Schizosaccharomyces pombe: one gene and its partners. Changing the gene in region 1 together with any one later gene gives a genetic interaction. Each region holds a gene or a part of one and is shown on either strand. Other genes may lie near its edges.

What was found.
Region 2: mutations in tom70 (region 1) and dip1 together harm fitness more than expected from each alone (negative genetic interaction), as found in Schizosaccharomyces pombe (one large-scale study listed by BioGRID).
Region 3: mutations in tom70 (region 1) and sno1 together harm fitness less than expected from each alone (positive genetic interaction), as found in Schizosaccharomyces pombe (one large-scale study listed by BioGRID).
Region 4: mutations in tom70 (region 1) and SPOM_SPAC29A4.02C together harm fitness less than expected from each alone (positive genetic interaction), as found in Schizosaccharomyces pombe (one large-scale study listed by BioGRID).

The regions. Positions count from the first base shown.
Region 1 is NC_003424.3:2,430,062-2,438,022, forward strand, and holds tom70 (TOM complex subunit Tom70), read left to right. Parts: upstream 1-3,318; 5' UTR 3,319-3,330; coding exon 3,331-5,208; 3' UTR 5,209-5,562; downstream 5,563-7,961. Other genes in the region: DNA primase catalytic subunit Spp1, read right to left, coding at 1-398, 483-556; drc1 (DNA replication preinitiation complex assembly protein), read left to right, coding at 937-1,066, 1,123-1,755, 1,796-2,046; SPOM_SPAC6B12.13 (protein phosphatase inhibitor), read left to right, coding at 5,988-6,180, 6,406-6,527; SPOM_SPAC6B12.14C (uncharacterized protein), read right to left, coding at 6,938-7,402.
Region 2 is NC_003423.3:2,337,231-2,345,049, forward strand, and holds dip1 (endocytosis protein Dip1), read right to left. Parts: upstream 5,941-7,819; 5' UTR 5,921-5,940; coding exon 5,866-5,920; intron 5,771-5,865; coding exon 5,681-5,770; intron 5,561-5,680; coding exon 4,581-5,560; 3' UTR 4,172-4,580; downstream 1-4,171. Other genes in the region: SPOM_SPBC24C6.09C (phosphoketolase family protein), read right to left, coding at 1-509; coa6 (cytochrome c oxidase subunit VIb related protein), read left to right, coding at 3,440-3,619, 3,766-3,858; cwf14 (G10 protein), read left to right, coding at 6,474-6,505, 6,576-6,955, 7,000-7,028; msh2 (DNA mismatch repair protein), read right to left, coding at 7,227-7,819.
Region 3 is NC_003424.3:955,414-962,476, forward strand, and holds sno1 (glutamine aminotransferase subunit), read right to left. Parts: upstream 3,233-7,063; 5' UTR 2,938-3,232; coding exon 2,233-2,937; 3' UTR 1,954-2,232; downstream 1-1,953. Other genes in the region: eIF2 alpha kinase Hri2, read right to left, coding at 1-172, 237-771, 821-859, 947-1,061; poly(A)site selection protein Seb1, read left to right, coding at 4,648-5,004, 5,195-6,700; two-component GAP Byr4, read right to left, coding at 7,024-7,063.
Region 4 is NC_003424.3:5,140,265-5,148,112, reverse strand, and holds SPOM_SPAC29A4.02C (translation elongation factor EF-1 gamma subunit), read right to left. Parts: upstream 4,311-7,848; 5' UTR 4,296-4,310; coding exon 4,079-4,295; intron 3,981-4,078; exon of another isoform or gene 3,907-3,980; intron 3,786-3,906; coding exon 2,773-3,785; 3' UTR 2,598-2,772; downstream 1-2,597. Other genes in the region: aif1 (flavoprotein), read right to left, coding at 113-1,840; pseudouridylate synthase Cbf5, read right to left, coding at 6,282-7,706. UniProt on the Schizosaccharomyces pombe protein: Probably plays a role in anchoring the complex to other cellular components.

The DNA of each region.
Region 1 (7,961 bases):
TAATAAATGGCCAGCATTTTTCGCATATATTTGTTTTTGAGCAGCAGGTTCGTACATCATCGTAGTCAGTCATATCTATATCAAAAACGAGTTCCTTTTTAAGCGGATGAAATGTTGACTTCCTTATTGTTTTCCTGTCCCTGGGATTGGCACTATAAACGGGTCCAACTTCAAATCGGCTTGGGCATAAATTTAAAGCTTCCTTTTTTAACTCTTCCCAATTTGAAAAAGATAAATAACGAATATAAGCATCATTAGGAAGTGTGAACGCGAACTCCCGATGAGCAAAATCATTAGTGACTACCGGACCATGATTTAACCATTGAAATAAATATTTCCACGGAAAAAGATGGCGATAATATTGAATCATCGTCTCTGAATCCACAGCTCCCTGTTTACTATAAGAAAATTGTTAGAGAATTTTCATTATTTTAGAGGCTCAATCGAGTCCATAGTTAAGATTGTTCAGTATTCACACTTACGCGCCATCAAGTGTTCCGTTTGCAATTATCTCATCCAAATCTTTGTCGTCCAATTCATCGATTTGAACAGTCATATTGTAATAAGTTTAGCTAAAAACAAAGGTTATTTACATACAGCTCAACCATAAATCAAAAGGAAACGACAGCGTACTTAAACGTTATACGTTATTTAAATTTAAAAAACTGCTTAACGTATGCGTAAACATTCAGCAGTAAAATGGAGCATTCATTAGTGCATCTACTTTACTTTTAAAGCATAATTAACATTTCAACTTTGCATTTCGAGATACGTATCAAACTCTGTGCAATGGTATTTCTCCACATATAGAATTAGAAGAAATATATGTTTATGTAGATTAGCCTCTCTTTTTGTTTTGAGTTTGTTTTTGCAGTTGTTTGAATCGAACACTACAAAATTGAAATTGGGTCCAGGCAGTGCATTAATTGGCAAATCATGCACGATGAATCACGAACTAAACAAATATCTAGTATAAAAGCGCTCTTAAAGAAGTGGGAACATGAGTACGTCCATACGAACAATTGCAAACCTTCTAAGGAGGATGTGAAGAAACAACCAGAAATAGGTATGTAAGCCAAAGATACACTTGAATTTTTGAAGCAAACTAACGAACTTTTTTAGCGCTTTTATATAAGCAATACTACGAGTTGAAACGCGAATCCTCCATTACCCCTAAAAAAGCAAAAACAAAGGTCGACTTTAAGTTTCAAACTCCTACAAAACAGCGTGCTGAAACTGAAGCGAACGAGAGTCCTAAAGCGCCCCGAAATGATTATCTACAGGTTACTCCGAAAACTGTGGATAAAAGTCTTTTAGGTCCTACTCCACAGTTGTCACGTCGAGTACTTAACCTTCTTGAAGACATGTCTCCCATTGCAGATTCTCATGTGGATCAAATTTCGGATATAAAACATAACACTAGTGAAATTTCATCAACTATGATACCGACTACTCCATCAAAAAATCCCGAACCTGTGGCTCAACATACTCCCACCGTTCTTGAAACCCCCTCTTCATATCGCCTTCAAGTTTATACATCTCCTAACTTACTTCGAGTTAATGCGCCATGCCGAAAAAGTCTCAGTGAAATGCTTCGTGAGTTAAAAGATATTGAAGATGATTACGGATCAAATGAAGAGAAGATATTGCAGGAGTTTGAAAGCTTTAGTAGCTCATCTTCAGAAAGCCTTGTAGATAGAGACATATCACAACCTATGAAGAAAAAAATTAAACGACAAAATCGTCTTGTTAAATGTAAGGTTTTCTCCTGTTTGTACCTGAACTAACGTTTTAGTGCCCCCTTCAATGAATCTTTCCAAAAGTCATTTAGAAGGTCTTCCTGAAATAGACGAAGATGCGGAAAATGGCATTGACGACAATGAAGATACAACTGCTAGCAAAGATTCGTCACCATTTTTAGATCTGCAGAGTGAACGACAAAATAAAAAGATTATGAGAAACGGGCTTGTTATTGGAAAACAAGTAAGCCAGAATTATTCCTCTTACAAATTAAAAAAACGTAAATTTCGGCGTCACAGAAGCTAACATATAATTTGTCAATCGGAACTTTGCTGTTGTATTTAAAAAAACACATACTTTCTGATCTTCCTTAATAGGATATACACTTTTTCAATGAATGTTAAAGAGGTATATATATTTAATAAATCATGCATTCAATAAAACCTGGAAATAGATTTTGTGGGTTTTTGAGATTTAAATGAAATAATACATCATGAGTTTGTGGTATCCTGTTAAAAAAATTTTGGAAATATAAAAGTTTGAATGAATCATATATTTCTTGTTCTTAATCTTCGGGTAAAATCAAATTAGTTACTATCGAACGATAAACGTTTTATATTTTTACGTAGGCATTCGTCCAACATTAAATCTAAGACTGGAACGTTTTGATATACGAATATCATGAGGACGTAAGGAAAGAAGAAGTACAAAAAAAATCGAACCTTCAATATTGAAGCTGGCGAGAAAGACAAATAAAAAAACAGCTTCAAATAAGTTTGGATCTATTGAAATGAGGAATACATGAAAGCTGAATATCATCATTACTTTACATGGATTTGCATAGCTTATTCATCCTTAGGGGACAGCGATGCCAAATTTCCTCTTAACTAAATTTTTAGACAACCTAAACACCATACGTTGATGCTAAACTTCAAAACATGAATAGTCATTTCCAAATGTCATTTACAACTTAAGAAACCATGCTTTAAATAATAGATAGCTTATAAGATACAGGCAACAACTGTAATAGATTTTGGTCGCAACTCTTCAATTGTATTCAAAACATAGTTCAACCTACAATCAAGTTAACAAATCTTTTTAAAGACAAATAAAAGGGCTCTAGATAATCAGAATCCAAAAGAAGTGCATTGTGTAATTAACAAATACAGTCAATACGTTTCATTGTTTAAGGTAAACTTCTTTACTACGCTCTCTATATATTGTATTTTATACGGGGATAACATCAGCTCTTGTAGCTCAGTGGTAGAGCGCTTGCCTAGTAAGCAAGAGGCCCAGTGTTCAAGTCACTGCTGGAGCAGTTTTTTTTAAATTCCTACTTGATGCGGAATTGAGTAGAATTAATAAAACTAGCACCTGTGCAAATTATCACCATTTCATAATAATAGCTCCTATTAAACTGCTGTTCACCGTTTCTTTTTTTGTTTTCTATCACTTCGTAATCAAGTTTTAGTTCCTTAACCTTTGTCAATGAATGTGCTTTGCAGTTCGTTAGCAATGCAATAAGGTAGCATTCACTTTGCTGAAGTATAGTGGTCATGAATCGGTACCAACCTAGCCAAAACCAATACCATGTCTGGTATATCCAATGCAGAAAATGGTAAGGCAATTGTGTCTTCTGGAGTTTTAAATTCCGTTTCAGCATTTGTAAGGCGCCATAGGACATTTGTTTACACTATTGGTGCTGTTGCCGTTTTTGCTACAGTTGGGGGTGTTTATCATGTACAACAGAAAAAAGCTAGTCATAAACGTTCTAAAAAACTTAAGGCTCATCAAGATAAGGCTGAATCCAAAGTTAATGAAGGAAAAAATGAAGCTGCAAAGGTCGTAAAAGAAGAGGATCTTAAAAGCTCAGAAACTGGAAAGGATGTTGAAACAGCAGCCGCTGCTGCTGCTGCTGCAAAAAAGAAGAAGAAGAATAAAAAAAAGGTTAAAGCCAAGAAGGTCGGCGATTCTTCTGTCGATAAAATTGCTACTGAGGAATCGGTAAAATCTATGACGAAGGAGGAAAGGGCAAAATTGGCTGCCGAGTTAAAGACTCTTGGTAATAAGGCTTATGGACAAAAGGAATATGCTAATGCTATTGACTATTATACTCAGGCTATCACCTGCTCTCATGACCCTATTTTCTTCTCTAATCGTGCAGCCTGTTATGCAGCCATCGGTGATTTTGAGCAAGTAATTAAGGATACAAGTGAAGCTCTTTCACTTGATTCAAGCTATGTGAAAGCGTTAAATCGTCGTTCTGCTGCTTATGAGCAACTTGGTAAATTGGATGAAGCCCTTATGGATAGTACCGTTTCCTGCATTTTCGATGGCTTCGCTAATGAGAGTATGACTGCTACCGTTGAACGATTGTTAAAAAAGGTTGCTGAAAAGAAGTCGTCTGCTCTTTTAAAGGAACGTCCTCCTAAATTGCCAGCTGCCAGCTTTATCCAGACTTATCTCGATTCATTCCATGCTCAACCAAAACCTTTGTTTGATAATAAATTTGACGGTGATGCTGCTTTAGCAGAGGCTTATGAATATTTAGAAAAGGGTGAATATCAACTTTCGTACGATAAAGCAAAGGAATCCTGTCTGGGATCTTTCTCATCTCCTTCGGTTAATGCTCGCACTCATAATCTAGTTGGTACTTTTAAATTTGTATCTGGTGACTCTAAAGGTTCGATGGAAAATTTTAATGCAGCTATTAAATTAGATCGCAAGTTCATTCAACCATATATTCGTCTCTCAGCCGCTTATTTAGATGAAAATGATAATGAAAAAATGTGGAAGGTACTGAATGATGCAGAATCTGTTGATAAAACCGATTCGGATCTTTATTATCATCGTGCACAAGTTAGGTTTGTTTCTGGTGAGTTTGCAGAAGCCATTTCTGATTATCAAAAGTCTATTGCATTGGATGACTCTTTTATTTATAGCCATATCCAACTTGGAGTAGCTCAATATAAGACTCATGCAATTGCGGAATCAATGAAGACATTTGAAGATTGTAAAAAGAGGTTCCCTAATTCAAGCGAAGTTTATAATTACTTTGGTGAAATACTCTTAGATCAACAAAAGTTCGATGATGCTGTCAAGAACTTTGATCATGCAATTGAGCTTGAGAAGAGAGAACATCTAACAATTATGAGTGCAATGCCTTTGATTAATAAGGCTCTTGCTGTATTCCAATGGAAGAAAGATATATCTCAAGCTGAAAATCTTTGTCGACAGGCTCTATCGGCTGATCCCGAATGTGATATTGCAATTGCCAGTATGGCTCAATTCCTATTGCAACAAGGTAAAGCTCGTGAAGCCCTTGAATATTTCGAGAAATCTGCACAACTGGCTCGTACTGAAAGTGAAATGGTGAATGCGTTTTCATATGCTGAGGCTACTCGTACGCAAATTGCCTTGACTGAAAAGTACCCACAGTTGGTTGGTCGTTTAAGCAATCCTATGTAAACGAGATTGTATATGAGAATTACTGTTAGTCAAAATAAGCAGTTGGCGAAAACATTTTGAATGCTTTAAAAAGGTTCCAATTTTAATGTGGCTCGGAAATTTTTTGTTTGGATGACAGCAAGTGCTGAAAATCCTTAAACCAAACGAAGTTTTGTATACGGAACATGTTTGCTAATGTATTCTGGTTGACGGATTTTTGATTTTAACTTGATTCTTAGGGTTAGCAATAATGATATTTTGTTCGCTACTCCCTAAAATGTGAACTTATTATTTCTTTGTACTTCATGTTTAGTAGGTAGTGTATTTATTAACGACAGCAATAGCAATGAAATATTATACCCATTGAGATTCAACCATTACAGAATGTTATCATAATTTAGGACTCTAATTTAATATAAAATGGTAGGTGTCTATTAATTCTCTTTACCAAATAAGTTGAAATAGGCAGCTGAAGGTTTTTAGGAAAACAATATTTGGTTTCGTCATCAAGGGAGATGTAACCTAAGGGAGATATAACGCAGTAACGATTTCTCACAATCTTATATAGTGAAGAAAAAGGAATAGAAGAATATCCTATTAGAGAATAGCAAGCATCTTGAAGTGCACACCACTCTTCGCCATCGTCTTTCAAACAACAGAGGAATTTTATAATAATTACACTAAAATTGTTTTTCTTGAAGCAATTGCTTGAGAGGAAGAGTTGGTTAACGAAACTGAAGGTTCACTTATAAAACAGTGAACTTCGTGTTTTATCACTCAACGTAATCTTGACAATTCCCATGGAACTCACAAGACCGTTAGGTGATATCTCCTCATCAGCTACAGTTACCATTGAAAGTACGGAGGAATCCGCGTCAATAAGCCATGAAGAATCTGAGAATGTGCTCCATTTACAACCGGAACCAGTCAGAAGAGTTAGATGGACGGTAAGCACTGTAGATAATGAGCATATGAATAAAAAGAAATCGAAAGGTAAGTGAAGTTCTGGTGATTTTACGAAGAAGAGAATAGGCCTTGTTCCATCCTTTGGCAACAAGCACAACTTTCAGACTTATATTGATTTTAAAAATTGGACAGTATGAGTCTATTTATACATATCTACATTCTTTATCTTTGATTTATCAAAGCACTAGAGGCTTGATACACGAACATAGAAAATTAAAGGATTTAACATGATGTGATGCTAAATATTACTAGTGTGCTGTATCTTTCACAAACAGAGAAAGTTTGATGAAAGTTCATCCGATTCAGATAGTGATTCGGACTCGGATTCCTCTTGTTCCTCATGTTGCAGTCGCAATGCATATGAACGCGCTTAGGTTGTTCGTTGAGTCCCCTATATTGAAAATGAGATATAAGTCATATGTCTTAAGTATTTTTCTTAATATGCCAAAAACCCAATTCCAACATTACTTTTGAAACTTAAAATACGTTTTGAAAAGGAATCTCGATGGCTTTAGCAGTCATACCTTTGTAAAGGTTTTGAAAAATCCCACAATAAATGATAGCAGCTTTTATGCTTTTCAACGTTAGCCAGATACTCATCTTTTTCTTTTTAATGAACTTTACATCAAATGTATGAAAAGTGTCAAAGAAAAGTGCGGGACTTTTGATAAAAAAGAGACTGTTTGATATACTCGTAGATTCTGAAATAAATTATAATGCAAAACAGACATAGGTGCTTTTTTTAATTAGTTGGACATATCGGTAGTACAATAAGAATAACTTATCACCTTCGTCCACGTTTCATCCAGCTAGAATTCAAGTCGTAAACTCTGCGTTTATGTGGGGTAGCAATGTTCATTTCCTCGTCATCCTCATCCAAGACTGGGCGACCGGCGCGTACAGTTCTATTGCATACAATATGAGGCTGTAGTTGTGTATCTTCATTTCTTAAGACAGAATTGTCGTGATGGTTGTGAACGGAGGAATCGTTATCGCTAGAAGCGAGCTTCTCGAGGCAATACTGTGAAATAAAGTCAATACTGGCACCTGATTCAATAAGTTCAAGAACCTCCCGAAGAGCCTGATTGTACCCAGCTTTTTGTGCTTTTAAAACTTCAGTAGTAGACGCTTGATATAATTGAGTAACGCTCAAAGCTGCCTGCTTAAAATGAGATAAAACATTTTCATATCCTGATGATGTAGACAGATCATTTGACTGAGAAGGAGAGAAGTTTAAATTTGTATCCATTTCATTTTCAATATAATAAAAAATTATTAGTTGGTGTTTCTTTGTTAATTTTCATTAATCTCTTTTCGCTTCACATTTTAACGTATTATAGCCGTAGCTCACAAAAAAGAATAAAGTGTCAGTAATACTACACTACGCTATGATACACTACGTTGCGTATCACTATATGTCATATGTTGGAATACTAGCTAAGATCCGTTTATTGATAATCACGGGTAACTATCCGTCTATATACATAGATACCCGTTGATAACAACTATTTAGAAATATTATAAATAGCGTTACAACTGAACCTCGTTCCTCAGTTCAGTTATGAGCTATATTAGTGATAGGTAACATTATAACCCAGTTAATACAATACCTATACTCAGTTGCTACTTATACAACCTGTGTATTGTAATATAATAGACCACAAGGAAAACTCACCGCAGTTCTACGTATCCTTAAATCGGATACCAAACTGCGTAGCTTACATAAAGCAGTAGCTTTTTGTTGGTGAAGCTTATGGCGTTGCAAAATTTAACGAAAGTTTACGTAATCGATGCTACAACATACAGCG
Region 2 (7,819 bases), on another chromosome or scaffold:
GGAAGGGAGAAGGTGTTAATAAGGTTGTTCAAGCCTTCCTTGGTAAATTGGTATCGAGGGTAAAAGGGGCCCAAAGAATCTTCAAGGAAAAGAGCCGATAAAATGGCAGGAGCACCATGGCCAGGGCCTACGACAAAGAGCATGTTGAGATCATATTTATTAATGATACGATTACAGTGAGAGTAAACGATGCTCAAGCCGGGACAAGTACCCCAATGGCCTAGCAGTCTAGTTTTGATATCTTTTTCCTCGAGGTCACCGCCGGTGTAGAGACCGTTGGAAAGGAAAATCAGGGAAGCTGCGAGGTAATCACATGCACGTTGAAAACGATGGACATTGGCAACCTCTTCGTCGGTAATCTTTGAAGTGTCGATTTTAGCTTCGAGGGTTTTTAAAGAGTCAGGAAGACGCGAGGGCATAGCAGGAGGATCGGGGTGTTTTTCGGCAATTTCAACTTGTTTCGCTAAATCCTCGGGAGTCGAGTTAGGGATATCGTTTTGAGTAGCCATATTGAAGAGGAATGTTTTTATAATCTAAAATCAATTAAACGGAGTTTGAAACAGTTTGTGAATAAATGGAAATTCGTCAAGTCGTAAATGATAAATATTCGTGAAATAAGCACACATACACACAGAGTATATAGGAAGGAGGAATGCTAGTAAACTAGGAAATCAAGTTTTACCTAGTACAAATGAGGAAAGTCGTAACAATAATAAACCAAAAGTAAATAAAAAATAAATAAGGAATAAGAAGATATGGTGATGTAAAAAGAAGAATAGAAGGGCAATTATTAATCAATGAATAGGAGTGGAATGAAATTCAAAAAAATAAAAGAAAAATAGAATTCTCACCAAATAAAATAATACTTTGTTAATTAATTCTAAATTATCCTTTATTTTATTTTATTTTATTTTTATAATAATTCAATTCCGATTTAATTTCCTTTCCTTTCCTTTTGTTCGTAACCAAACTTGAGTTGATGATTCTATTTATCAAAAAAAGCAAGCGTCGTAGCACATGGATCGCGAGGACACACACGCATATATATATTAATTTCTGTATCATTCCATTAACAGTTGCAAATAACTTATCATGATCATAAACTAGTTTCAACACTTCACAAACACATCATCATCCTTGTTTTCATTAAACCACGTATCCGATCTTACGTAAAAGGGTCGATTGCGTAAAGTAGGAGTGAACGCAAGATGTATCACGAAGTGAACGAGATTAAGTAAAAAAAAGAAATAAGAAAAAAAAATTATGAAAGAAAACATTTATGAGTCAAAGAAAGAGAGAAAAAAAAAAAAAAACTGTTAGTCATGAAGCGAACATTGAAGAAATGGATAGCGAAAATGGAGAATAACAATGCCAAAAAGGTGAATTCTTATAAATATGTAAACATTTATTGATTTGATTTCATAAAAAGTTACTTTTCCTTGAAACCCTCCCTTTTCTACACTTACTTACCTGTGATGTTCCTTGTGAGTCTATTGTCCATTGCTATTTATTTGACTCTTTCTTTACCTTGTAACCATTGATTTCTTCTCGCCATGCTATAGAGCATTATAATGTACTGTATTATACTATATTACATAACAATACCGCACTGCATAATACTTGGCAGGCAACGTTGATTTGCACTAAATGCCATTGTAACCGAAAACTGGACACCCTAAAAGAGCACTATGATCCATTTTAGCAACTGAGCTCATGGTGACGCAAAGTGCTGAAATCGACTGAATTCGCTCAAGACCGATCGATGTGCTATGAAGGTTGGAAAAGGTAAGAAAGGACGTTGGATTTCGATTATGTCAGATGCCAGCACGGGCCCTTTTTTGAAATTTTCAATTTCGCATCTTCACGTGGCAGCGCAGCGCTGTGTAGCTGGAGGAAGAAAGGAAGGAAGGACAAGAGAAAAGGCAATGCGAGAGCAGTAGACGATGAAGAAGAAGAACAGACGGGTGAAACAATTGTCATGAAGATGTAAAGAAAAGAAGGAGCTGAGAATGTAGAGAAATGTGCCAATGTCAGATGATTTGCGATTTGTTTGGCTAAAAGTATAGAAGAAAACGAGGTTAGGGTTATGGGGTTACGGTTATTGAAGGTTAAAGAAATATGAATGGGAAGAATTGTTTTGGATGCATTTCGTATTAGATTGTATGTATATGTAAATAAATAGATATCTTTAAATAGATAATTAAAATAATCATTACTTTTCTTTGCTTTGTTTTAATAAAAGCTGATTTGTTTGAAAACACGTTCATGCAGTCATCATATGGAAAAAAATTAGTAAGAGAAAATAAGTAAGAACAAATTAAATAAAAAAAAAATAAGAACAAAATAAAATTAAAATAAAATAAATTAAATTCACATTATAAAAAAATAACCTTCAAACTTCTCTCTACAATGAACGATGTTTTTTCTTTTTCTCTTCTTCTTACCTTCCTTATCCTTTCTCTACTTCCAACAATGCAACAATTCGCTTCCTAAACTGTAAAATTTTTAGGTTCGTCCCCTTCGGATTACTCTTTTCAATTTTCAGAAACTTTACACTCCGTAAAGGTTCAAAACTGTGTCATTGCATGGTTTGCGATGCATTGGTTTATCTCTCATCATTTCATCTCTTGAATTTACCTACTTGCTCCCATGTTTACCGAATAGTCAGCGTAGGTGATTGCTAAGGATAGCGAAATGAAAACGTCAATCCACTATATCAGCTACGCAGTTTGGTATTTGTTTAAGGATACGTAGAGCTGCGGTGAGTTTTCCTTGTGATCTATTATATTACAATACACAGGTTGTATAAGTAGCAACTGGATATAGGTATTGTATTAACTAGGTTATGATGTTACCTATCACTGATATAGCTTATAACTAAACTGAGGAACGAGGTTCAGTTGGAACTCTATTTATAATATTTCTAAATAGTTGTTATCAGCGAGTATGTGTATAGACAGATAGTTACCCGTGATTATCAATAAACGGATCTTAGCTAGTATTCCAACATATGACATATAGTGATACGCAACGTACTATATTATAGCGTAGTGTAGAATTGCTGACACACTAACGGTTTTTGCAAATCATGTTGCTTTTCATTATTACAGTTAGCAATCATTTAGATGTCACATACGGCAATGCTGTCATATGTAAAGCAAGCAGCCACTCTTTAGGAAAACAATCGCTGGTAGGAGTGTGCAAGCAGCAAACCATTCTTGTAACCGTTAAATGATCGTTTTTATTGGTTTCAAGTAAATCTTTCCATTCAATTTTTCCTTTTTTTTTTAGTTCTTCCCCCCTTTACAACCAGGATTTTCATTTTTGGTTGGAAACTAATCCGTTAGATTACTCGATTGGTACATTTTAACTATTATTCGTAAAACTCATCACCAAACGGCCTTGTTGAAATTTATTATTCAAGCTTTGTTACGAACTCATGGCTGGTAACGGCGCATTACGAAGAAGTGCTCGAGAAAAATGCTGGGAAGCCAGAGATGCTTACTTTGGTTGTTTGGATAGGCATTCCATTTTGGATGGATTGAAAGATGATACAAAAGCAGCCCAGGCTTGTTCCGCTGAAAAAACCGCTTTCGAAACTGATTGCGTAAAATCTTGGGTATGAATCGCCAAAATTGTAAATGAAATCTGGCTGGTATGAAATGAAACGAGAAATTCCGATTTTGCAATTCTCTTGAATTATTACCTTAAAGATCTCCATTACTTCTTTTTTTCTTTCTCACTAACATTGTTTTTCTGGATTAGGTCAATTACTTTCTAAAGTTTCGAGTTCAACAGCATCAGCAACAAGAAGCTATCAAAAAACTCGAGGCTCAAGGCGCAAAAAAGTTGAATTAGCTGTTCCTGAATACTCTCATACAATCTCATTGCATCTAGGTTTCCCCCATCCTAATATGTTTTCATTTTTATGCTTAAGTACTTATTACTCATCTTCAACTTTGGCAAATCAAACAAAGCGGTATTTTTTTTTTCCTGCCCTTCCTCTGTTTACTCTGTTCTTTCATTTTTGATGGTGAAATTTTTAACTGAACCCTTTCAAAAGAAAGTTTTGTGTTTACGAATAATCACCTATTTTTTCAAAGACGACGATGAATCTAAATTACGTTGTCTAACTTGCACATTTACGATCACCGAAAGTTACAGAAAATGTTAGATGATTGATAGGGGTATTATTAATTAAGCATTCCTATATTAGTTTATGCCATTCTTCACGTTTGTTATTTAAAAATTTTCTTCACTTCTTCTTTTGCAATGGATATGTCTAACTAGAGATTTTCTATTCATTGATATGAAAATTGCAGTGTTTAAACTTTTAGCATTTTCTTTGCATTCCAAAGAAATTTCTCCAAGTTTTATCAATTTTCTGCAAGAAGTAATACGCCAAAACTGGCTTTTCAAAAAACAACAGACTGGCAAAAGGAGAGAGAAAGTATTAAAAAAAAGAGTGGAAAGGAGATTGGTTAAAATTTGCAATTCTTTTTGGTTGATCTGACAATAAATGAAGGAAACGAGTGAGGTGCTTTAAAAAAATAAAAAGTTTTTCAGTAGTAGAATAAAAATTATTGAGCGGTTCCTAATGACTTCATCTCTTGTTGAAGCCACGGTACTTCTAAAACACGTATGGCAACATCTGTAGTACGTGCATCTTCCATGTTGCTGCTTTTTGAGTGAGAAATTAAGACATTATTGACCGCGTCGACTATACACTTAGTTTTGTAATGAGGTGGATGGCGCACCTGTGTATTTTCAAGCAAAGGAATCAAAACTTGCAAATATGCATACCGAAGATCCGAAAGCTCATCGGGAATATTGTTTATTTCGCGTATGAATATATCAATTAGGACATTGAGATCATTGGTATAGAATATCTCATACGTAGCGGGAGTTGTAAAAAGAAGGAATAGTTGTTTTAGTATTAACATTCGAGAGCGTGGATCCTTTTCTCGATTTAGAGTGAAAACTAGGCCTTCACTGTAGATACCGTTATCCACTTTGGAAGAGCTCAGCAAATCCATTATGCCATTTGCGATTTCAAACGAACCTTTGGAAGCAAGCCGAACAAGCATAAACTGTTCATTGATGCTAAGCAATGTCAAGACGCACATTCCAAAACTGTCCATGTCCTCATCATTCCAAGCTTCTTCCGACGTTTTGAATAGGTTTACTAAAAAATATTCATCAATTGCGACTAAGTCGGTCGGTGAAAGTCGTCTCGAGCGACAAATATAGTACACTAAGAATAAAGCATAACGAAAAGATGTAAAAGCAACATTTTCTGAACGATCCTTGAACTGTTTCATTGCCTTGATCAAGACGGGAATGAACCCCGTAGAAGCCAACAAACGCAAGCAGTACTCATTCTCTTGAATTTCGGATTGAAAGACAATGATTATGAATTTCAAAGTTTGTTGTTCTTTCAAGAAAAAAAAGCAATCATAGAAAATACTTAAAACGGCGTTTTCGTCTAGTTGATAAAGCGGACTATTGAGGAACTTTTCCATACATCTCTGCAATTGGAATTCTGTAATTAGGTACGGTTCTATTGAATTTATTTTGTTAGATAAGATGTTCTATAAAGAGACAAACACTCAATTTCTTTGTATTTCATCCATAGGAAAAACACGGAAAATTGTGCTTCCCCAATTCTCCAAAACATTACCTCCATATTTGTTGATAAAAGAAAGAAACTTTGAAACACCAATTTCCAGTTCATTTTTTTCGTATGGTATAGTTAAAAGTTCGTCAATTTCTGTCACCAAATGTTAGCGTCAACGGGAATACTATTTAGCCAGGATAATGAATCCCAGGCACATTCAAGTTTACAATTATGAATAAATTGCATACCCGCCAAAAATTGCTTTTCATTCTCTAAATTATAAAACACATCCGTGAACTCCATGTGGAGGTTAGGGAAGGTTTAATTGCCGCTTTCTCATTATCGAGCCTAGTATTCAATAGACAAAATTCTCGCTAATATCCATCGATAATCAACTTTAATATATGATTAGTAGTCAACACAACAGAGCGTCAATGTTATACCATGAAAACAGTATTGTAGTATTATAGTATACAAATGCATCTGGTTCCCTTTTGGCCATATGTTAAGGTATAAAATATAGTGGAGACACAAATTCAAAAATTCTCAATTATCCTCAATTGAAGAGGCTATAATTTAATTAACGGAGAAAAAACTTAGTTTCTATAGTTAAGAATATCTTGCAACAGTTTCAATCGCGGCAGTCTATTTTACAAGGAATTTACACTGGATTCTCACAAATCCAACTTGCCCATAAGTACACTACCACCAAATAAGTAAAAGGATAAAAACTACCCATCACTAGATTTCATTTTATCGGTTTCTTTATATTTAATCTCTTTAAAGCAAGCATTCCTTATTCTGTGTTGGTTTATTGAAGAAAAGTCGTAGTTTGCTTAAAAAATATTCTGTTATCATGCCTCGTCTTCGAACGTCAAGAACCAAGCGGTATGTATACCAAGTATTTTCCTTGTTACCTTTATTTTTACCTACGAAGTAAGATTCTAATTAGCTATAGCCCTCCTGACGGATTTGATGAAATAGAACCCACCCTTATTGAATTCCAAGATCGTATGCGTCAAATTGAGAATACAATGGGAAAGGGAACTAAGACGGAAATGCTAGCACCGATTTTTCAACTTCATCATCAGCGCAGTCGTTATATATACGATTTATACTACAAACGGGAAGCCATATCTACCGAACTTTACAACTGGCTGCTAAAACAAAATTATGCCGATGGAAATTTAATCGCCAAATGGAAAAAACCAGGATACGAGAAACTTTGTTGTCTGCGCTGTATTCAAACCGCTGAGTCAAAATTTGGTTCAACGTGTATATGTCGTGTACCTAAATCAAAACTTGATAAAGATCAACGTGTGAGATGTACTCATTGTGGTAAGTAAAGAAGTGCTATTGCTACCAGTTGCTAATGAAAATAGGTTGTAATGGTTGTGCAAGCTGTGATTAATTGGAAAACTAGTGGTTCGTTTCCCATTTATATCTTTTTATTTGGTTATTATGGCAAATGAAACAGTTTTGGGTTATAAAATTCATTGATCTATGGCTTTTCCTCGTTTTAGTAAAAAATTATTTTATTCATAAAATGCGCTTCCAAAAAACATGTACCTTGGTTGAATTCTTTCAATTAGTACCTTGCTCACATTCTTCATGAGGAAACCTCATTTGTGGATACCCTGGATTGTAGCCAGTTGTTGGAATTGATTTGCTGTGCGAATGAGCCGATGACTTTTTGAAATTGGTCCATCATTTGTTGCTGAGTCATTTCTGGTTTGACGTTGCTACGCCATTGTCTCATTATATCACGTACAATTGCCATACCTTCTTTTTTAGATTTCACTTCTTGAGTATCCCCTTGGGCTCCAGAGTCTTCAGCTTCTAATTCTGCGGCTTTGTTGCTTGCCATTTCAATAATCTTGGGAGGGAAGTGCGCAAGTTTAGCAACATGGATTCCAAAACTCCGATCACTAGCTCCTTCACAAACATTATAGAGTAAAGCTACATCCTTCGATTCTGAATCACCTACATAGGCTGTAACATGCAAATTTTTGACAGTAGTGATTTCTTCTGATAGTTTGGTCATTTCATGATAATGTGTTGCGAAAAGGCAAAAGCAACCGATTTGAGTCACGATGTGTTCTGTAATAGCCCACGCTAATCCAAAACCATCGGTTGTGCTAGTCCCTCGTCCTAATTCATCAATGATGATTAAGGATCGCGGTGTGGCAGCTCTCAAAATCG
Region 3 (7,063 bases), 1.5 Mb from region 1:
TAGTATATCGTCTGTAAGGGCAGAAGATTCTGTTGGTTCAAAAATTATGGAGTCCATTCCGTTGACATCACAATAGCTTGAGGTTCCAAGTACTCTACTAGAATTTTTAGACATTACTATCGGCATTTGTGTTGCTTCTGTGGTGCTTTCTACCCAGCTCGAAAAGTATCGACTAAGCCGATGTTAGAAATAATAAAAGGAAGGCGATGAAAACAAGTCCTTCTGATGATGCTTACATAACATTTGGATGATCCATTTTTGCTAGACATTTGATTTCTCTAAATATTTTGGAATAAGACATTTGCTGAAATGTTGAATTAATTTTCTTCATTGCGTATTCAGCACCGTCAATCTTATTTCGTACGTGATATACTGATCCAAATCCACCTCTTCCTAGTAAAGAATACTCCTCAAAGTCCTCTATGTAACGAGAGTTTCTTGACTGTAACCAACTCTCAAGCGTAAGATCACGGAATCGGAACTGTCTTACATTTAATCCATCTACAGAGAATTTCGAAAGAGCAGTTTCTTGTGGAAATTTTTCAAATACATTGGTGGGATCGGGTAGTGCTAAAAGTCGCTCTTCAGCATCGTCGAGACGGATTGCCTCACGCGCTTGCAGAATCAAATGGTGTAAAGCATCCTGATAATTGGATCTAACGGCTGCAAGTTCTTCAATATATTCTTCTTCCAAAATACCTATTTTTTGAAGAGTATGGCAAATTAAAGCAAAAAGTCGTTTGGACTTGGCAGGATTATTGTCATACAGTTCTTTAATAAGTAAGCAAGTAGTTCACATGAAACGAGAGCTTAGACATACGACAAAAATTTTCCAACAAAGCAGTTAAAAGCATCCGCCCTAATAAATACATTAGCTTAGGTTGTCAATGACCAATATTTTTAGTTCGTCAACTGCTTTATACACACAGTTGTAATTAATTCCTACCATGTTTATTGACAGACAAATCCCTTGATTGTCTTTCATTTTTTAAACTTATTGCATTTGTTGTCTCTGAGTAATTCCCATCTTCCGCTGACTTGTGAGCGTTGAAAAATCGCATATTTGTGATGATGGAAGTGAAAAAGGCATTAAGAAAACAACCAGTTTTTTTCTGCACTTATCAAAATATTTGTCAAAATCCCGTTAATCGCAACCAGCTAATCTCGTATCTTACAATGGAAGGTTAGAGAATTGTTAATGGAAACTTTGTGGTTGACTTTTCAGATCATGAAAGTAACATTAGGAGAATTTAACTCTACAGCTAAAATACATGGTTTCTACTGACTATGGTCGTGTTAACGATAAGTATGTATTTGTACTGTTAAAAATTCAGATAAGTAATTATAATCAGTCTTCTTTTTTGAACTTCTTCATTCGTGAAAAAGCAAGTCAATTTTTAAATTAGCATCGTAAACAGTAAGCCAAAGATACATTTATAATCTAAATCAAAGCAAAAAGAATCCAGCTCGAAACTGAATTTATAAAACCAATTTGTTTAAAGAATTGATATATTTTATTACCAGATAAATGTTGTGGACAGAAATCATTTGAATTATTAATTCATTCATTAGTTTTACCTCAAGATAGTAAGAAGGAAAATTGAAGAGAACGAGCACTTCAAGCTAACTATTAAATTTAATTACATTAGCCAGCATGATGTGAGGAAAAAACATTTTGATTTGACACAATTTAATTTATCATTTCACATTCATAAACAATTCTTTAATTTTTATATTAAATTATACTAAGTAGTAAAGAGCACATGGAATCCGTTGTGGTCCAACGGCTAGGATTCGTCGCTTTCACCGACGCGGTCGGGGTTCGACTCCCCGCAACGGAGTTTTTTATTTTTTCTTAATTTTGATTTTTGATTTATCACTTACTGAATAATTCCAGTGTACTAAAATTTAATCTTCGGTTAAATTTTCTATGGAATGTGTATCTATATTACCCAAAATAATGCGCATTTTTTATAAACATTTGATTAACTGATAATGTATTCAAACTATATGCTTTTAGCAATGGAAATGACAGCAACTTATGCAGCGCAAATGAACCTAGAAAAGATTGAAAGCAAATAACAATTAACACTTAAAATCTAAAAAATTAATCTAAAAGGATTTATTATTTAAAACTTAATGACTGACTAAAATAATAAGTGAGGCATTTACCTGTCTCAACTCTTTTTGTGGGATTATACAACATGCAACTATAGGCATGAATTTAAAAAACTAATCCTTTTTCTCCTTTAAAGGTAAAACACGCTCTTTTACCCACCATTCATGCCATCTATTATCGGCGGTCAGCTCGGGGTGAAACGATGTACCTAAAAAGGGACCTTGCTCAACCGCAACAATCTCTTTGTTGCCTTCATGAACAATAGTAGCTAAAACATTAATATCATCAGACAGGATTGTCGAAGCGACTGGAGCACGAATAAAAGTGGCCGAAAAGGAATGTAAAGGTTCAGTGGCTTCAAATTGCATTGACTCTGTAACTGTAATATCAGTTGTAAAAGACATAGTTTGAGGTCCAAAATAATTACGAGTCACTTCAATATCCATGGCGCGCAACAAATAAGGATCTGGGAACTTTCCACCTCGAGACTTTTTCGACAGAAGAATCATACCAGCACACGTTCCCCAAATAGGAAGTCCTTGATCAACCAAGTGCTCCAAACGATCACGAAGCTTCTCATCAATGTTGATTAATTTGCCAATGGTAGTAGACTCACCTCCTGGGATAATTAAGCCATCAATATTTTCGCAATCCTTAGCAGTTTTAACAGGAAAAGAAATTACTCCATCAATGGAATTCATTATATTAATGTGTTCAATAAATGCTCCTTGGAGAGCTAAAACTCCAATTCTAGCCTTCAACTGGGATTCGTCCACAGCATTGGTTTTAAGACTCCCGAACATGGATGCAGAAGACATTTTTTTAAAGTTTTTAATCGACTAGAAACGAATAAAAAAACAAAGAAAGTTTGAAAGAACTAAGAAAAACAAACGAAAGATATCCTGAAACCTATTGAACAAGTAGATGCTGATGAAGATTGATACACCCCTTACTAATCAGCAATGAATCACTCAAACCGTTGAAGATGGGTATTAAAGGATTGTGTTGTCTATGTTTATACCTTAAAAAAATTAAATCAAACGTAACTAAGAGATCCACTTTAAGTAGTATACAATGTGTCTCAGTTCATTAAGGCGGTGGTGGCTATAGGATAATAACCCAATCAGACATACCGGGGGTCATTATATAAGTCTGGCAATGTGGAAGCGAAAAATTATCGCCAGAATCAAAGATGGCAATAAAGATAGAATTGGTGGAGCAACCTTGAATCATATCGCAAATGATTACGCTCCTTAATAAGCAATATCATTTGGTACACCCATCTTCATAAGCATAACAAAGGAGACCTTGCACATTGCTAGACTCAGTTTACAAAATCAAATGCGATACAGTATATCACATGCTTTGACTTCAGTCATTTCACTAAAAATTGACTATCTAGACTACCATAAAACAGTCAAATGCTTTCTATATTATCCACAAATTAGGATATCATCAAGCATTAATGAAAAAAAATGCTAATGTCAACACAACTCTACAGTTCACAATTGCTTACAGCATTAACTACTTACCTCACTTTTATTCTCAAAACCCCCAACCACTAATAACTACTTACTGAATTTTAAAGATAAAATTATTTAATTACCTTTCCCACTGTGTTAAAAGTTCAATACGCATAGCATCAGCAAGTCTTCAACCTCTCTTTCAGTGGGTTTAGCAACTGAAAAAATTTAAATAAACTGCTTACTTTCAACGATAACAATATTATCTTCACCACACACTATCAATGTACGAAGTTAAATATTTTCAAACCTCACATCCTAAACCATCCAATGTTGTCAAATTCATGCGTCACAAATCTGTCAACAGAAGAAGATTCGGCGTCGCTTGCCAGTAGTGCAATAGCAAGAACACCAGTGTCGGAAAGCATAGCAAGCCAGAGGCTTTCCAACTCAAACCAAAAACAAGATTAATCGGAAACACCTCAGTGAGGTGATTTCAGCGATTAAACTGAAAAGAACAGATACTACACTTGATCTAAGCCAAAAGGCAAAGAGAGAATACCGAACCAAATGCACGAGTACCTGTATATATAGTAAATCTCATAAATAAACCCGAACCCTGAGATTACTTCGCAGTCCCAATTTTGTGGTCGAGGCTGACAAACTTGTTACCAGAAGGATCATGGGCATGAAATTAACAAAAACGCTACTCATTATTATTATTTTTTTTTACACTAAAAATTTTCATACATTTTTTAAAACAATATGATATATATTTTTTTTTACAAAGTGTGAAACTTTGGAAATTTTTAGCATCTCTTTAAGCACTTTCCTTACCCTTCCGTAATACCAGCTTTATAACCAGCATCACCTACTTCACCACTTAACCGTAACCATAACACAAAAAGTATTTAAGAACAGGGTGACTTCCTTTTTTAACGTCTTTCAAGCACGTGTAAAAAACTAATATAAGAAAAAAAGTAGTAAAATTCTTATAAAGGAAACAGGGTAGTTTTCTAGTTTTGAAAAGTTTTTTTTTTTTTTCATTGTCGTTTTTCTTGTGATATGTCGGGAATCGCTGAATTCGATGGTATTTTAGATTCCCTTGAACATTCCAAGACAGGAATCTCGGGATCAAAAATTTTGAAATTGACTAACTTGTCGATGGAAAATGTTTCAGAGAATGCGCAATTTGTTGCTAGTGTGTATAAGTATGCGAAGCGTGCTCCCGTCACCCATAAATTAGGAGCTTTGTATATTCTAGACTCAATCGTTCGTAGCTTTCAGGACGGTGCTAAAAAGAATAATGAATCTTTTGAAAATCCCGTTGATGCGTCTTTTAGTGGCGGCTGGTGCAAAGCTGCTGAAATAACTGATAGTTTGGTCGCAGATGCTATACAGCATGCGCCATCTGCTCATTTGGTATGTGTAGCTGAAGTTTTTCAAGGTTGACTACGGATAAGATCCCGTATGGATAATCGTATGCTCTCTCTGCTTCTGTATCAGCGAGACACTGTATGAGAGAGGTATTTTTTCCTTGTAATACAGTATCATTCTCTTTGAGAAGTCTTTTAACATTATTGGACTAATTTGTAACTAACTAAGCATGTAGCCTAAAATATTAAAGCTTTGTGATATTTGGGAGAAGGCTTCAACATTTCCTCCCGAGAAGCTAGAATCGCTTCGTTCAAAGCTGAAAGATGCAATGGCAAGTACGGAACCGGTTAGTGTAGATTCTGCTGCTGCTCCATCACAGTCTACTAATCCCGAGGGGAATGGTGGTTCTGTTGGTAGTCAAGCAGCCGCCCCCACTTCTCGTCCTGTCGAAAACGATGCTGCTTCTATTCTAGAGGCATTGGCTGCTTTCGCTCAAAAGGCGCCCGTCCCTAGTGCTGCCGAAGAATCAGTTAGCACTCCACCGCAGCCTGCCGTCGCACCATCCGTTTCTGCTGTCGTCCCTAACCTACCTGTTCATCCAGCTACCGCCATTAATGCACAGTCTCAGTCAGGCAATCCATTATCAAACCCTCTATTCCAACCTTCAAATGTACCACAGTCTATTCCCTCTGGTCCCATGGGGATGAAGACAGGATCGGTCAATGATACCCAGAGTCAACAGATCACTCTCATGAATGTATTGGCTTCTCAGAATGTACCACCTGCACAAATCGATAGCATCATGAAAGCTGCTTTTCCCAACTATAACGCTCCATTCCAGCCGGCTGGTGTCGGCAGTGTTCCTTTGCCAGCTCCTACCTCTTCCCAATCCTTAAGACTCGGCTCCTTACATCGTTCTCGTAGCCCTAGTCCTCGTAGTGGTCGCCCTCGTCGTAGCCCTAGTCCTTCTCATTTATCCATTCCTTCTACTTTGCCTCCTGCAGATGGTGTGCCAAAACCTACCCCTGATGGATTTCCTCGCCGATTTGAGCGTGACCCAACCATTCCACCTGATTCTATTAAGGTATACAGCCGTACTCTTTTCCTTGGTGGTATTACTCGTTCTGTGCGAGAACCTGTTCTTCGATCTATGTTTGAACGATTTGGGTCTGTACAAAGTTTAATTTTAAATCATAATTACAGACACGGGTTCTTGAAAATGTTTCGTCGTGATGCTGCAGAGAAAGCTCAAGTAGCGATGGAAAATGTCCCTTTTGCTGATACTACTATTCGTACTAAATGGGGTGTAGGATTTGGACCTCGAGAGTGCTCTGACTTTTCCACAGGAATCAGCGTTATCCCAATCCGTTTGTTGACGGATGCCGATCGTACCTGGCTTGTAACTGCAGAATATGGCGGCACGGGTGGCCTTCCGATTACTCCTGGTATCGCTTTGGATGAACCTGATATTGAAATTGGATTAGGAATAAGTTCTAAGGCAATTAGTAAAAGAGGAAAAGATTTTGCTATGCGTCGTGATGAGCGATTCCGGGGTCGTAAACCATATAGGGGAGGTCCACCCATTCACCATGGTGAAAGGCATTTTGATTCAGGAAATGACTGGCATGGTAATCCTAGTACCGTTCCTCCCCCTACCAACCCATATAATCCCGGCTATCCATATATGGATCCTAATTACTCTTCTGGGTATGTCTCACAACCTCCTTGGCAACCCCAATAATGTGTTAAAAGACGCTTACAAGTATTATAATGATGGCAAAAATGGTTTCTATATTACAGACGGTATTTAAGGGTATAATGTATTCGGTCCAAATTTAATTGATTATTTTCTTTGTATTGTCTTGTTCAAACAATCTAGTTTGTCTGGGTGTCACATTAGTATTACATTTGTATCATTGTTGTACATCTTATACATCTATTTGCAAACAAAATGAAAAATCTTCGAAGTGTATTAAGCTATGTACAAAAAGATCAAATCTGCGATAAACAAAAGCATTCGTATAATTATATATAAACATTCGCAAGGTAAAGACAAAACCTTGTTTATTGTTCGGCATTAAGTATATTATAAAGCTCCCATAGT
Region 4 (7,848 bases), 2.7 Mb from region 1:
TCTTCTCAGTGCCGCTCATTCTATTCGCCAAAACCGACATTAATGCATCAATCGATTCTCACAAACATTTCGTGTTCGTAGAAATAAAAAATTCAAAGAAGGAACATTTTAATTACAAAGGAATGGACAACACATCAAAGTTTTCCTTTAGCTGAGATTTGCTGGGCATTGCATCTTTGATGAAAAGTCTTGCGCATTGAGAGACGACAGGATCCTTCATAATGCTACAAACTCCAACGACTTTTTCACCCTTGGTAAAAAAGCAAGCAAACTTATAGTCGGAGAGGGAGCCCTGAATGACCACATCATCAAAACCTTCAGCAGCATTGTTTCCGCAATAGCGTAGTTGCTTTCCTTGGGCAGACCAAAAGTATGGGGTGAATGATTTCGTCGTATAGCCAGCTTTGTTACCAAACAAAATATGGTCAGCCGCGACTCTTCCCAAATTACCGGCGACATCCCAATGCTCAATTCGTGTGTGCGACTTTTCTCCTGATGAAGGTAAACCGGCAAATGGAGCATGTGCAATGTCTCCTACTGCGTACACGTCTTCGGCACCTAGAACACGACAATGCTCATCGACCTTGACACCACCATCTTTTTCGAGAGAAACGGCATTACCCAAATAGCGAAGATTGGGTTTTACACCAGCAGCCAAGATAACTACGTCGGCGGGTATACTTTGTCCGTCTTTCAACACAATGTGTTCGGCTTTAGATGAGTCATTGGAAGAAGTCTTCACCTCTTTAATGCTGTTCTCCAAGTAAAAGGCGATACCATTTTGCTCGTGCAAAGCTTTAAGTGCAGTACCAACTTCTTTACCCATAACCTTTTCAAAGGGAATCGACTCCATTCCAATCACCGAGACATTATGGTCTTTCAGCACGACTGCGAGCTCCAAACCAATGAAGCTACTTCCAATAATGACAATGTTCTTTTTGTCACCAGCTTCGGTAGTGACGGCAGCGAGTTTGGATGCATCGGCGATAGAGCGCAACAGGTATACATTCTTCGAATCCAAGCCAGGAATAGGGAGTTTGTTCGGCTCGCCTCCAGTAGCCAAAATCAACTTCGTATATGACTCTGTGGGCTTTTCATCTGAACCACAGTAAATTTTTTTCTCGGCCAAATCAATCTTGGTAACGTCAGTGTTGAAATGGAAAGATATATCAAGATCATCATAGTATTCTTTAGAACGTAAAGCAAGTTTGGAAATGTCATGAAGTAAGGATTTAGATAGTTTAGGACGATCGTAGGGGACTTCGTCTTCCCGGGTAAAGATGGTAATCTTTCCTTTGAAGTTCTTCTCGCGAAGGTATTCTGCTGCAACTGAGGCACCCTTTCCACCGCCGATAATACAGACGTGAGGCGCCGTCACTTCAGTCTCAACGCTACCCTTGTTGTACACTTCGGTGGCCTTATTTCTCCAGCAGCCTTCAGGTTGCAAAACAGAGGCACCATTGTCGTTCTTGTCCTCCACTTCAATCCAGAGGCTACCATCGCCCTCCTCAGTAACAGGAAAGGTACGTAACGCAGCAATGGCAGGCGTGTCTTCCACGTCTCCAGTTGCTGCATTGAAACAGGCACCGTGCCAAGGACACACAATATGGCCGTCCGACGTAACCACACCTTTGGCTAAGGGAGCACCATAATGGCTGCACTTTCCAGCCGTCGCAAAGTAGGTGTTTCGAGCACGAACTAGTAATACGCCAAATTCCGTACCAACCACCTTGGCTTCTGTTTTCGTTCCATTTTTCGAAACAGACGAAGGGTCAAACTCCAGCTGAAATTTCTTCTTTTGTGCAAGCCCTTGCTGCTTTAAGCCTGAACTACTACTCATTCTGAACGGTTGTTTTCCTAATTGCAGCCCTAGAATCCTGTCTTTTTTATTTCGTAGAAATGTGAATTGTATGAATCGTGGTTGGTTAATAAAGAATCGCAACAACATGGTCCTGCTTAATATATAGGAAGGATCGAGCGTAGAAATACCCTCTCAACCACTACTACGCTATCTATTTACCTCATGTTGATGTAAACGTCGATTTCTCATATTCAATCACTACGCTAAAAATTGCATCTTTTTGGGTGAATTATTTCACCGCTGATTGGAACGCTGTAGCCGCAAACTTCGTAAAAAGACAGGTTCATTGTGTAGCAGTGAGATCGTTATTTTTACGCAAAATCAATTCTTGTGCAAAGAAAAGAAATGAACTTCACTTGCATCGACTAGCTTGGTTTCATTTGCTTCACTTGTGCTCACCTTTGAGTTTGTAATTTTCACTTAGCCCATAACTTGATATTGGTCGGATTTGCAGATCAACTGCTTCTGTGCATGGTAGACGCTACATGTATCTAACCGACTGATATATTGATGCAGTTATGCTTTAGCTGGAAATATCAAGAACGACTGCAAATATTGCTGACGATGGGTGGTGCACTTTGCAATGCATGTACAAACAATCGCCTAGCCGTCTACTAAAATTCCAAGAACTGCTTTGGAAACGAATACTACTATGGTCAAACATACGTGGACTTTATTTACAATAAAGCGAGCTAACGATTTTTCACAAATAGCAAACCTTATACACATTTGAGAATTGAAAAAAAAGGGAGGAATTCAAAAAATAAGCAAACATACACAATGTCTACTCTTTTTGAAATGTAAAATCAATCATTTTCTAAGGCTAAAACAAACTCAATCTTGGAATTATCAATAAACAATAGGGATTGCCTTCCCAACAAACCTACCTTATCCATTTCACCCAAACATTTTTACTTGCAGACCTTGCCGTCAGCGACCTCACGTCCCTCAATAGGCTTGTCCCAGGCCCAAGCGTCTTCAATGAAAGCCTTGTCCTCGGGCTTGTTAATGTCGAGCTTGGTGAAGGTATAAGATCCCCAATCTGGAGCAACATCAAAAGCAGGAACATAGTCATGTCCCTTAATGACAAAAGCACCAGTAATGGTGTTGTCACCGTTCTCGCCAATAACTACGCAGCATCCAAAGATGTACTTACGAGAAGCTTCTAAACGTTGGAAGAAACCACCAATAAGATTGTTGGTCATGAAGACTGGTTGCTTCAAATCTTCGGGGTAGCTGTAATCAACCTTCCAAACGGAGTAGTTCTCGGGATCAAAGTGCTCAAAGAACCAAGGAAGAGCTCCACTACGAGTGTCTTGGTTACTGTAGACACGCTTGTACTCTTCGATGTCAAAAGATCCATTAGGAGCAGAAGCAAGGGGGTGCTTGGGGGGCTTAGCGGGAGCCTCGGCTTGAGGTTTGGGAGCATTCTTCTTCTTCTCATCCTTCTTCTTTTCGGCCTTCTTAGCAGGAGCAGCCTCCTTATTCTCAGCCTTTATAATAGGAAGAGGTTGGTCAATAAATTTAAGAGGTTCAGTAATGGCATCCAACTTAGCTTGGTGGTATATGGTTTGGTAATAACGATAAATATGGGTGTACTTGGCCAAATAAGACTTGGTAAGAACGTAGGTAGCACCGAACTTCAAGAAGCATGTAAAGAAGATATCAGCCAAAGTAAGACGAGAACCAACCAAGTAGGTCTTAGAAGCCAATTCCTCATCAAAACGGGCGAAAATCAAAGCAATGGCAGTTTCAGCTTCCTTAGCAGCTTGCTCATCATAGGGAGCGCCAAAGACACGGGGAGCAATTATAGGGCGAAAGGCGCCAGGGAGCTCACTGTTGGTAAAAGAACAGTATTGGAGGACTTTAGCCTTCTCTTCGGCAGTAGTACCGTTCAAAGCACGAGTCTTGTTGAGAGATGCCACTAAAATTGACAATTAGTAAAACAGGTCAATGATCAACAAAAGAAATTATTTCGTTATTCAAAAAATCTATTTGGATAAATTAATATCGTGGGCTTTTTCCTTTCTTCATATTAACAAGATTATTCAGATTTACCATTCTCAACACTATGCTTTAGACAGGGATAACTGTAAAAAAAAATAGTATCATCATACAAAGTTACAAAGTACCGTAACATTGACTACTCTCTGAAGAAGTTCGAAGCACCATACGATATTATCGTCAACATGGAGTTTACAGGATTTTGCTACTTACAGTAAAAAGCGATGGCAAGGGTCTCAGACAAAGGGAATCCATCCTTTCCAACAAAGACGGGCATCTTTTGCAAAGGGAACTTCGCAGCGAGATCAGCAGGGAAGTTGTGAGGTTGAACATCAACATGTTCGACCTCGACACCTGCGACTGCGGCAACGCTGACACAGAAAAGGACGCGAGGAGAGCCAATTTTTCCGTAAACGGTTCCTACAGACATAGCTACTAAGATGTTGGGAGAGAAAGAATTGTAAAGGGCCTGAAATTTTATGTACAAATAACGAGCTCAAATTGGACAAAAAATGTTGTTGTCCTGGCAACCCGATTGTTCTGGTTAACAAACTAAACACTAGAAAAGTAAATAAGAACAATACATAAATAAATATGAAAAAGGGGCTCTACTTTTCAATGAAACGACTAGAAGAAATCAGAAATGCATTGTGTCACCTTAAAATTCTTTCCTTAATTATTCTGGTTAGCAGGTTCTGTTTTGAGATTTTATATGTTTAATCCAGATCTAATGCTTGAAGAAGCGTGCATATACAAAATTTCATGGCAAAGGGTAGATCAACATTATTCTGAAATATACTGTAAAAAGTTGTAAAAAAATTGTATTAATGACATTAGAGTAGTAACTCATAAGTTTTTTCCTCGCTGTGTAGTAGAAGACGAAATGACCGAAACTCGTATAACTTGCATTCTTATATAAGAATATCAGATTTTATGCTGAACTTTTGAAATGACTGACAGATAAGTGTAACTTTTGTATAAAAAAGATAGATTAATTCGTACATCTGTAAAAACAAAGATAAATTAACGCTTGACCCATGTGTATTTCTTCCTTGCTTTAGGTTGACCTGTTTTCTTACGTTCGACTTTCCGTTTGTCATTCAAAACACAGTGCGTGTCTTTAATGACCTGCTTCAACGAAGGCTCTTGAAGTATGAGAGACTTCGAGATAGCAGCGTGAACAGCACCAGACTGTCCAGTTGGGCCGCCTCCATGGACTGTAGCCCAAACATTGTAATTTGTTAAGCGATTGCAGGCCGCAAGTGGATAAACAGCGTGTTTTCGATGAACCATTCTTTGAAAGTAGACATCAAATGGACTCCCATTCACATAAAATTTTCCGGTTCCCGGAAGCATCTTTACAGTAGCTTTGCTCGATTTCCTTTTTCCTTTGGTAATACTCATTCCATTTTCATCAAGCATTTGGCTTTTTAATGTGGTTTTCACGACAATGTCTGGGCGAATAAACTTCTCAAGCGCTTTTTGCACTGCTTCAGTACGATACTCAGGAACAATTTCGTTTAATTCATTAAGTAAACGAGTAATTTTTCGATAGCCAACTTTAGTTGTTTTGGGATCAGAAAACTCTTTTTGATACTGCTCTAACGTTTTCCACTTTACTTCGGAACGTCTTCCTCAGCAGCTATGATTTTAGGTGCAAACTTAAGGATGTTTTCCAAATGCAAATAGATTTCATTAAACCTAGCGTTTTGCGTAAAATAAGAGGGATTATCAGGAATATAATGGATATTTCGAATCAACGGTACACTTTTGATATTTTTATGCGAAGATAATCCCAACGAACTGGCAAAGCATCTTAACTTTGCCAGTGACCTAAACATTGCAAACGATCAACGGAATAGCTGAACTTAGCCAAATCCAATGGCTTCGAGATGGTCGTCCACGAGAATCTGTGTGGCATTATAGTGCCTTCGTACCTAACATACTATAACGAGGAATAAGCTCAGATACACATATTACCAATCTAAGTACATTAATTTGATCAAATATATACATACTAAAATACTAAAAGGAAAACAGTATAAACATATTCTTTTCAAAGAAAAGATAATATTATTATCCAAATGCCGAAGACAATGCGCTTTCTATCGGAAACAAAGTGAATTGCTAAATATCAAACAATCATGCTTAATTCTAAGGAAACTGCGGATGTGCATTGTAATTGTCATTAGGGCTATAGCGATAAATTATTTAAGTTTTCACAAGCTAATATCCAAAACAACAAGTCAAAAAAGCAAAAGGTTGAAACTTCGCTTTCTTTCTTAACCCTCAAACGGTATCTCAAAAACTTATAGGATCTCGGAATAAGGGATTTTGTGCTTAAAACCCTTTATAACAAACCCAAACTGTAAAATGACCAAATTCAGTAGAAGAAACGAACGATATTTAGGGCATTTTACTCAGACTTCTTCTTCTTCTCCTTTTTTTCTTTTTTCTCCTTCTTTTCCTTCTTCTCCTTCTTAGCTTCCTTTTTCCGCCGTTTTTCCTCTTTCTTAGCAGCTTCATCCTCATCCTTCTCAGATGATTCTACCGATTTGCGCTTCTTGCTGTCTTCGACTCCATTGACTTCAGCTTCAACAGTAGGTGCTGCAGGCGCAACAACTGGAGCAGGCTTTGCAACCTCTGCATTAGGATCAGAGTAGTCAATATAAGATTTAGACCAATCCGCGGGTGTGTTTTCATTAGGACGTCCGTATTTATCAAGTTTTCCTTCTTTCTTCAAAGTTTTCTTTTTCATACTTTGAGGGCCCAAACCCCAACGTCTAGGATACACATCTCTCTCCATAATACAACGCTTAACCTTGGCAACAACACCATGATCACAAGTCGAAAGCTCGACGGTAGACATTTGTGCAATACCCACAGCGATAGCTTCACCCTTGGTAGTAATAAGGACAATCTCTTCGTTAACTTCAATACCAGCTTCGTAACGAAGTAAACCAGGTATCATAAGTTTTGCACCATAGCAAATGGCATTGACGGCACTATCCTTTACCACAATTCTCTTATAGCCTACGAGGAGAGATTCCAATGGACGGATAACACGACGTAAATAAGATTCATCACGAGTGTTATCATAAATCCATTGAGCATCTAAGACATCGTGCATGGTGACAATATCATCATTTTCCGAAAGGCAACCAGAACGAACACGACGAAGTTCTTGCATATGGCCTCCAACACCAAGAAGAAGACCGAGATGTACGCAAAGAGTACGCATGTAAGTACCTGCTTCACAGCTAGCCCAAAAAACGGCAAGGTTTCTCTCATTGTCAAACTCAATCAACTTGGATTCATAGATACTACGAATACGCAACTGACGCTTGACAGCTGAAATTAAAGGAGGACGCTGAAACAAAGCACCGGTAAGAGTCTCGATGGCAGAAGCAACATTACGCTCACCCTCAACTGAGTCGTGAAGACGTAAAACGCAAACGTACTCTTTACCGGCACTCTGCTGAGATTTGACCAAACGGGTGGCTCTGTCATTGCAAATGATCAAACATCCGGTAACTTTGGGATCCAAAGTTCCACTGTGACCAGTTTTTTCAACACGAAGAATTTTTTTAACCCAGGCAACAACCTCATGAGAAGATGGATTAGCCGGTTTGTCTAAATTGATGACACCTGAAGAAACATATTCCGCAATTGGACGTTTCAAAGGGTTATTACCACAGGGAATAGGTGTATAATGACCAGTACGAACGAGCAACTTGTCAAAGTTTTTCAAGAGCAATGGCCACTCAGCGGTATCAATTTTAGAAGCAGAAGTAGCCTCAGGCTTGATCATAAAATCAACTCCTGGATGAGTGTCCGTCATTTTTTCAATAATACAATCGCAGAACGCAGGTGAATGAACAATCCTCGATCCAGCGATATTGGCGGGCGTCAGAAAATTGTTTCGCCAGTAGTTATCGTGACTACCAAAAGTTAGCGATGAATACTTATGCATCTTTAAAATT